Linked DNA regions of Sus scrofa. The protein of the gene in region 2 interacts with the protein of the main gene of each other region in a pairwise test. Links are inferred from orthologs where the notes say so. Each region holds a gene or a part of one and is shown on either strand. Other genes may lie near its edges. The genes, in order: SPINK7 and RABL6.

Evidence for each region.
Region 1: the proteins of RABL6 (region 2) and SPINK7 interact in binary tests that used the Homo sapiens proteins (3 or more experiments, as listed by UniProt). The link is inferred for Sus scrofa from reciprocal best matches to the Homo sapiens genes RABL6 and SPINK7.

What each region holds. Positions count from the first base shown.
Region 1 is NC_010444.4:149,609,963-149,614,246, reverse strand, and holds the start of SPINK7 (serine protease inhibitor Kazal-type 7), read right to left. Parts: upstream 2,877-4,284; 5' UTR 2,631-2,876; coding exon 2,453-2,630; intron 1,651-2,452; coding exon 1,625-1,650; intron 966-1,624; coding exon 841-965; intron 1-840. UniProt on the Homo sapiens protein: Probable serine protease inhibitor.
Region 2 is NW_018084833.1:985,156-988,221, forward strand, and holds the end of RABL6 (rab-like protein 6), read right to left. Parts: coding exon 2,997-3,066; intron 2,922-2,996; coding exon 2,687-2,921; intron 2,395-2,686; coding exon 2,223-2,394; intron 1,405-2,222; coding exon 1,346-1,404; intron 1,242-1,345; coding exon 1,041-1,241; 3' UTR 582-1,040; downstream 1-581. UniProt on the Homo sapiens protein: May enhance cellular proliferation. May reduce growth inhibitory activity of CDKN2A.

The DNA.
Region 1 (4,284 bases), on a different chromosome or scaffold from region 2:
TAAGACCATCGCAGAGATGAGAAAGCACGAGATCTGAGAGAAGGGGCCACATCGAGAGGGCTTAACGGCAGTTACAGGGGGCGAAGGGGTCTTGGTGGGAGACAGGAACGCCGAGTTGCCTCTTTCTGCCCCCTGCCTCTTTTGACATTTGCCTGATTACACTCTCTTCAGGAATCCGCTGCAGGCCAAACAAAGTACTTAAACAGAACACGCCCGGAAGATCCTGGTCCAGCCTGCACCCCCCTATTTGCGTCCAAAGAGGGAAGGTTCCCTGTGGTGACCTTACCCTCCCCACCCCCAAAGCTGTGGCCACCGGGACACTGAGGAGGCAAAAGGCCCTCTGGGCACAGTTTATCTAAGAGGCATCCGATAAGGCTGTTGGGTCTCTTAGAAGTCCTGCAGGACAGTGATTTCAGTGATTTTCTAGCGTGAGATTCAGAAGCCCAATGAGAAATTACGTAGAATCCACTGCTGAAAATAACCTAAAGCTCACGGGGTGGGAGACCGCCCCGTGACCCCCTTCACCTCTTTGGTGACGCCTGACCTGTCTCTGCAGATCGTCTGGGCTCTGGGGACAGCGATTTGAACGCTCGTGGTCTGGTTAGACTCGGCCAGTCGCCAGACAGGAGTGAGAGATTGTGTCCTGGAGGAACTAGCCGAGCTGGCCGAGCAAGTGGCCCAACCCTAACCTGACAGCGAGGCGGCCAGTTTTCTCTCTCTCCCACCTGCTCTGGGGGGACCCAGTGCCGCTTGTGGAGAGTCACACAGGCTCCTGGAAAGAGGAGAGGACTGCCCTGGGATCCTGTCCCAGCTTCCCCTTTGTCCCCGCGGGGTACTCACAAGCTCTCGGTACACAGGTGGCATTCATTCCCGTAGGTGATATAGTCAGAACCACAAACAGGCAGGTATGTGATAGGGCAGGGGATGGCCACCACCGGGTACTTCCTGTAAACGCTGCAGTCCACCTGCAACCGACACGAGAGAATGCCCTGCTTGCCTCCTGGTCCTCGGGCTGGGCTGCCCTGGCCTCTGTGGCCCCGGGAGAGAGATACCCTCCTGGACGTCTGAGCTCTGCAGTATTCAGATGCTGTTACCGTTACGTCTGTGGTTAAAATAGGACCCTAATGCCACCAGCACCATTTCTGTTATTATTGGTACCCACCGTTAACAATTCCTGAGCATGAACAGCTGAATAGGGCAGGATCTACTCTTACCCCTGTTTACACGGGAGGGAAATTCAGGCTTAAAAAGAGAGCTTATAATGCAGAAGCTAGTCTAGTGGTAGGGATAGGATTTGAATCCAGAGCCCGTGCGAGGAACCAAAGTAACCCCCTCCCGACGCTCGCATGCTGTCCCTTCCGGGAAGACGTCACCAGCTTCTCAGACACAAGCTTCCCTCTTTTTAACTCTGGAATGGTTTTGTGGCTATAGTTATTTACGTGTATGCACGTCGTGTCTTCAGCTGCCTTCTGAGAAGCAGAGGCAGTTTCCTTACCGATGTGCGCCTTCCCTCTAATCCCTCCCAAGCATCCTGTGTGACTCCGACATACAGATTTCCTAAGGGTTTGCTGACTGAATGACGGTCAGTAGGAACTGAAGGTCAGATGCCGTTCTCTTTACTCACCTTTGTCAAAGGCAGGCTAGCAGCTTCTGAAAGAGAGACAAAGGGAAGTGTTAGAAGGAAGCCCAGTGGTGAGGTCCTGCAGGTCAGAACTCGGTAGTTCCTCTGGGGCGGAGTTTCAGCACCTACCCTGTCCTCACAAAATCCAGATGCTGTGGAAGCCAAATGCCCCATGGATTCGGGGAGCCCCGTGGTTTAAGTGGGAGAATTATCTAAATGATCTGAATTGCCTCCGTGTCTTGACCCTAGATGTTTTCTGGAGCTCCCTGTGTCTCTGGTCGTCTTTGGAGTCAGAGGCGAAAGAACGTGTTGCATCACCACTTCCAAGAGGCTGAAGCACCGTCTTTGATAGTCCCTCCCTCCTGATTGGGATAAGGAATGTAATGGAACATCTCTAAGGTGTTACGTCTGTTTTATCAAGTAGCTTTTCACCGTGTCAGAGTCGTTGCCTCCTGGGCGTAGGAGAACTGTGCTTCATTTCCCCCTTTCTGCCTTGATGTGGAGAGTCCCCCCCCCCCGGCTTGTCTGCATCATTGCCCTTAAGAGCATCTAATAACACCAGCCATTTCCAGTGTCCTTATGTAATGACAGACTTAGGGAAAAAATTCGTTCTCTCTTTTTTTCTTTTGGTTTCCACGCGTGAAAATGAAAATCCTTGAAAGGGAATACACTAGATCCAAATCCCTCAACCCCGGGTAGGATGTCAGAGTCTCCCTTCCCAGGGCAGGGCCGCATGACCAGAAATTTCTCTGAATTGCTGGCATCCCGTGAGGGATGATTTGAAAAACTAGGCTTAATGGCTGCAGAGGGCACTATGCCTCCTTAACTCACCCGAGCAGCTGCAGAGATGGGCCAGTGTACAGACCAGGAGGAGAGCCCCGGCGAGCTTCATGACGGCTGCGATGCCAAGGCTGCTCAGGGGCGCCACAGCCGCAGCGTCAGCCAGACCCTGGGAAAGGCTCCTGTTTATAAGGCGATGCTGGCTTCTCCACCTTTCCTGTGAGGTCATCCAGAGTCATTGTTGGCAGCACAGTATCACACCCTGGGTGATGGTGCAGTCCTTGTCCCTTAATTGCTGCTTCCTATCTGACCCACAGATTGATTATTTGAGGCGAGAAGTATTTTTCTGCCTGCTCTAGAGGCGGGGATTGTTGTTTTTAAAATCCTAAACCCCGTGAGTGGAAGAGACTAAATGCGGGTTGTTGGGCCTAAAGATGAAGTAGGTGAAAGGAGCGAACTTTATTTCACCGAGATAGAGGAGATTAAGCCACAATCAGACGGATTATACTTAGGTTTATATTTTGGCCCCTGCGAAGGTGTTTGATTTTCAAGGCACTAAACCCATGGGGTGCACAGGGACGTAGAGGGATCAGTGGCCTGAGCATCTGTAGACTTGGAGAACGGCATCAACATGTTCTAGTCGTGTGCGCTTGGGTAAGTCAGTTCGGAAGATCAGGTTGTCTGGTGGCACCAGGTAATCCCAAGCTTTCTGTGACTGGAAACAATACACGCTGATTTCACTCAGGCTGCACGGTGTGGCGGTCACTGACGGTTGCTTCGCCTTCCCTGGGTTCCGAGTAGACGGGGCAACACGATTTGGAATATTGCTCGTCTCAAGGCAAGATGAAGGCGCATTCTTGAGGGTTTCCACTTACAGCAGTTGAGTTTCCCAGCTCAGAAGCAACGCCTGGCGTAATCGTGGAGGTTACGGGGCTCCGTCTCACCTTGTCTCTTGAGGACAGGAAAGAGGTGGCACACAGAGAGCCCACACCAGAGCCTTAGCTTCGTGCCACGTCAGATGGGATCTACCTAGCCGCAGTTGCATTCGCATCTTTGGAATCATTTACATCCAAGTCTGTTCTAAATGTACCGCATGTAATTGTCACTCTGATGTTCTTATTATTGTTGACTGGCCAGGGGCTGCTCTTGGTGCTGACGTTAGATTGTAACTGTAACGTCCAGGCATAATTGTGCAGATGGCCGTTGTTTGTCTCTTGGAATTGAGGACATGTATGAAAACCCCGGGGCAGGCAGTTGACGTAGCTTCACCTTGATGGGCTTATTGTGTAGTTCGTTCTGAAGCATAGCACCAACAAAGGATGACAAACTAGTAATAAATGACTTTGCATGACTCCTTAAAATTTAAATCCCCACGTCTGTTTGGAAAGAGTATAATCTCTTAGTTAAGAATACATGCAGGAGTTCCTGTCGTGGCTCAGCAGAAACGAATCCAACTAGAAACCATGAGGTTGCAGGTTCAATCCCTGGAGTCGATCCAGCATTGCCGTGAGCTGTGGTGTAGGTGGCAGACACGGCTCAGATCCTGCGTTGCTGTGGCTGTGGGGTAGGCTGGCAGCTGTAGTTCCGGTTAGACTCCTAGCCTGGGAACCTCCATATGCACAGGGGGCAGCCCTAGAAAGTGAAAACAAACAGATAAAAAAACAAACAGAACATGTGCACTGAGTCCCTTGGGTCTTACTTGGAATCTTACTTCTAAAAAATGTTGACCGTGTGACTTTGGGTGTGTAGGTTAAGTTCTGGATGTTTGAGTTCCCTCATATGTAACATAGAAATTATATTTACTCTAAACCAAGTGGTTTTGAGTGTGAAATGTGACCAGATAGATAGATATGTATATAGAGTGTATAAATATCAGTATATAA
Region 2 (3,066 bases):
TGAGGCAAGTTTCAGGTTGGTGTGGCCCCTACATTAAGTAGCCACCGCAAAGACAGTCAACCTCACAGGCTGTGGGCTCATGGGGACCCTATGGACCCCCAGCAGCTGCTCAGTGACTGCTCTCCTGCTGCCGCCTGGGTGTGCAGCTCTCTCCGCACTGGAATTGGGGAGGGGGAGGCCTGGCCACCAGCCCCTCTCCCACGCCTGCAGGCAGTGTGCCCGCCTCCGGAGGGAGTTCTCATGGCAACTGTAAAGTGGTGGGTGGAGCGGAGCCCTGCCGGCAGCTGGAGGGGGTGGGGCTGCGGGGCTGAGGTCAGGGGAGCAGGTGGGAGCTTCCCCAGCGCACAGGACGGCGGCCATGCCGGATCCCCTGGATGGGGCTTGGCACGCGAAGGCCTGGGCTTGCCAGAGGCTGCCCAGGCCAAGGGCAGTGGGCCACCCCCCCAGAGAAAGGGCTCGGCGCCCTGAAGGCAGGGAGCTCAGGACCTTCCTGCCTGCCCGCGCTGCCCTGGGGCTAAGGGGGCGGTGGGCTGGTCCGACCTGGGCAGGGGCCCAGCGGCAGGGAGAAGCACACACAGACACGCAGTAAAACAGGAGCGCTTTATGGGCCGGGTGGTGGTGGAGGAGAGTGAGAGGAAATGAGAGTGCGGGGCCTCTGACCCGGCCTGTGCGCACGCCCGAGCTCGGGTGCAGGCGCAAAGCTAGACGCCATGCCTGGGGAGAGCCTCCCCCGAGAGAGGTGCCAGCGCTGCCCGGCGTCTGCACGCAGAGCCCCGAGGGCCGGGGGGACCGGCGGTCCGCAGCGCTGGCCGAGCCGCAGCAAGAAGCGGAGGCCACCCGCATGCAGCCGGCCGGGTGCGCGCGTGCGGGGGGCCGGGGGCAAGCAGGGCCCCACCCCTGTAAACAGCCTGGCAGGCCTCCTCGGCCTCAGTCCCATCCCTGAGAAGCGCTGGGGGCCGGCTGCCCGCAGAGCCCGCGGCCCCCTCCCCGCAGGGCAGGCCCCGCCCCCGCCCAGTGGGCGTGGTCGGCGGCGGCCGGGACTAGAGCTCCTCGTAGTCCCCGCCCCCGCGGGCGTGGCCGCCCGGGGCCCCGCCCCCCAGGAAGGCCTCCAGCTCCTCCACCGCAGTCCTCTCCGGGCCTCGCGGCCGCCGCCGCCGCCGCCTCTCCTCCCGGCCCTTGTCCTCTGCCTTGTCCTTGCTCTTCTTGTGCTTGCTCTTCTTCTTTGCTGCCTTTTCCTCCTCCTGGAGAGGGGACAGCACGGCGTCACGGGTGCCAGGAGAGCAGAACCCGCCTGGGATCCCACGCCGCCGGCGGGTGCCAGGGAGGCCCGGGGCCGGGGCTGTACCTCTCCGCTCTTCTTCTTCTTCTTCTTCTTCTCCCTCGAGGGAGCCTTGCCCTCCTTATCTGCAGGGATAAGGCACAAGGTCAGCTCCCTGGACCGGAGGCCAGGCCCCCTGTCTGGGCCTCCCGGGCTGGTATGGGGAGGGGAGGCCTGGGCTTGAGCCTGGGACTGGACAGAGGCCTCTAATCGCCCTGTCTGAGCCGGGTCCCCAGCAAGCACAGCCCAGAGAGAGCGCCCGGCTTCAGCCCCTGCCAGGTCCGGGGGGCCTGGCTCCAAAGGCAGCAGAAGCGCCCTGCTGTGGAGAGGCCCGTGCTTCAGCACCAGGACCAGCTCGCGAAGGTCCTCTCCTCTCCACGGCAGAGACAAGGAAGCTCCAGGACAGGCCCCAGCTGACACTGCTGGGCTCAAGCGGCCCAGGGTGGAGGGTGGGGATGGGGCTAGCGAGCCAGGGAGCTGGCCAGGGCCACACGGAGCCACAAGCCCTTATCAGGCCTGGAAGCCAGGCCAGCTGCTTCCGCGGAGGGCCGGAACGCAGGGCCGGACTGGGGGCCCAGAAGAGTTCTCGGCCAGCTCCCAGCAGCACTGCCCATGCCACCACATCCTGTGGTGTGGCCCCTAGGTCAGTCGTCCCCAGCTGCCATCCTCCCAGCCCAGTCGTGGCCTGCAGCCTCGTGCTCCCGCAAGTCTGGGATGTCGTCAGAAACACAGCTGCCTCCCAGCAGGCCGAGGAGAGCCTGGGACGGGGCTTCTGTCCCTGCGGGACGTCCTTGCTGCCCAGGCCCTCGCCTCACCCCCACGCTCTGGGCCCAGGTACAAAGGGACAGGGAAGGCGGTCAGAAAGAGGCCCCTGCCGGGCCACAGTCCAGTAGCCCCCCGCTACCTTCCCCGCTGCTCTCCTTCGGGCGGGTCTCCTCCAGCCCCAACCCAAAGAGATCAGCGTCGTTCTTCAGCCTGAAGGTGGGGGCAGGGGGCTTGGCGGGCGGAGGCGGCTGGACAGGGCCGGCGTCGTCGTCCGTCCCATCAGAGAGGTCCTCTCGCTCGGGGAACTCCCCCTGGAAAAGAAGCGGGCAGGTCAGCTGCCAGACCCGGCCCCAGCTCTCCGTCACATGACCCCGCAGGGAGGGGACCCTCCCCTTGTGGGCTCGCCCAGAGTGACAATGGCCTGAGTGTGGCAGCCATGATGCCGCCACCCCTGCACCGCATGTGCCTTCCCCGGGACAGGCGACAGGCCTGGGCCTTACCTACAGGCCCCCATGGGACAGCCCGGCCGAGGCCCCGTGGGCTGACCTGACTCTCCACCGTCACCCACCCGCCACCTGTCCGGGCGCCCAGGTCAGTCCTCACCGCTGTCCGCTGAGTATCTGAGTCGCTCTCAAAGTCAGGGTCGTCCATGACAAAGGACAGCATCTGGGCGGCAATGGGCCCCTCGGGGTCGCTCTCTGAGGACTCCTGCTTGTCCCTCCTGTCCTCGTGCCCTCGGGAGGAGCCCTCAGTGGGGGGCTTGGTGCCACCCGACCAGAGGGGCTCTGTGGTCCTGGGAGCTGCGCCCCGATGTGGCCTTGAGGCCTTTGCGGAGGACCTACAGGGCAGACAGAAGGGTCACGGGGCCCGAGGCCACCGTCCCCAGCTCCTGGCCTCCCGGCGCCCACCATACCTCTTGGTCTCTGGCTCAGAGCACTTCTCGGGGGCTAGGGCAGTGGCCTTGGGGTGCTCTGCCACCTCCT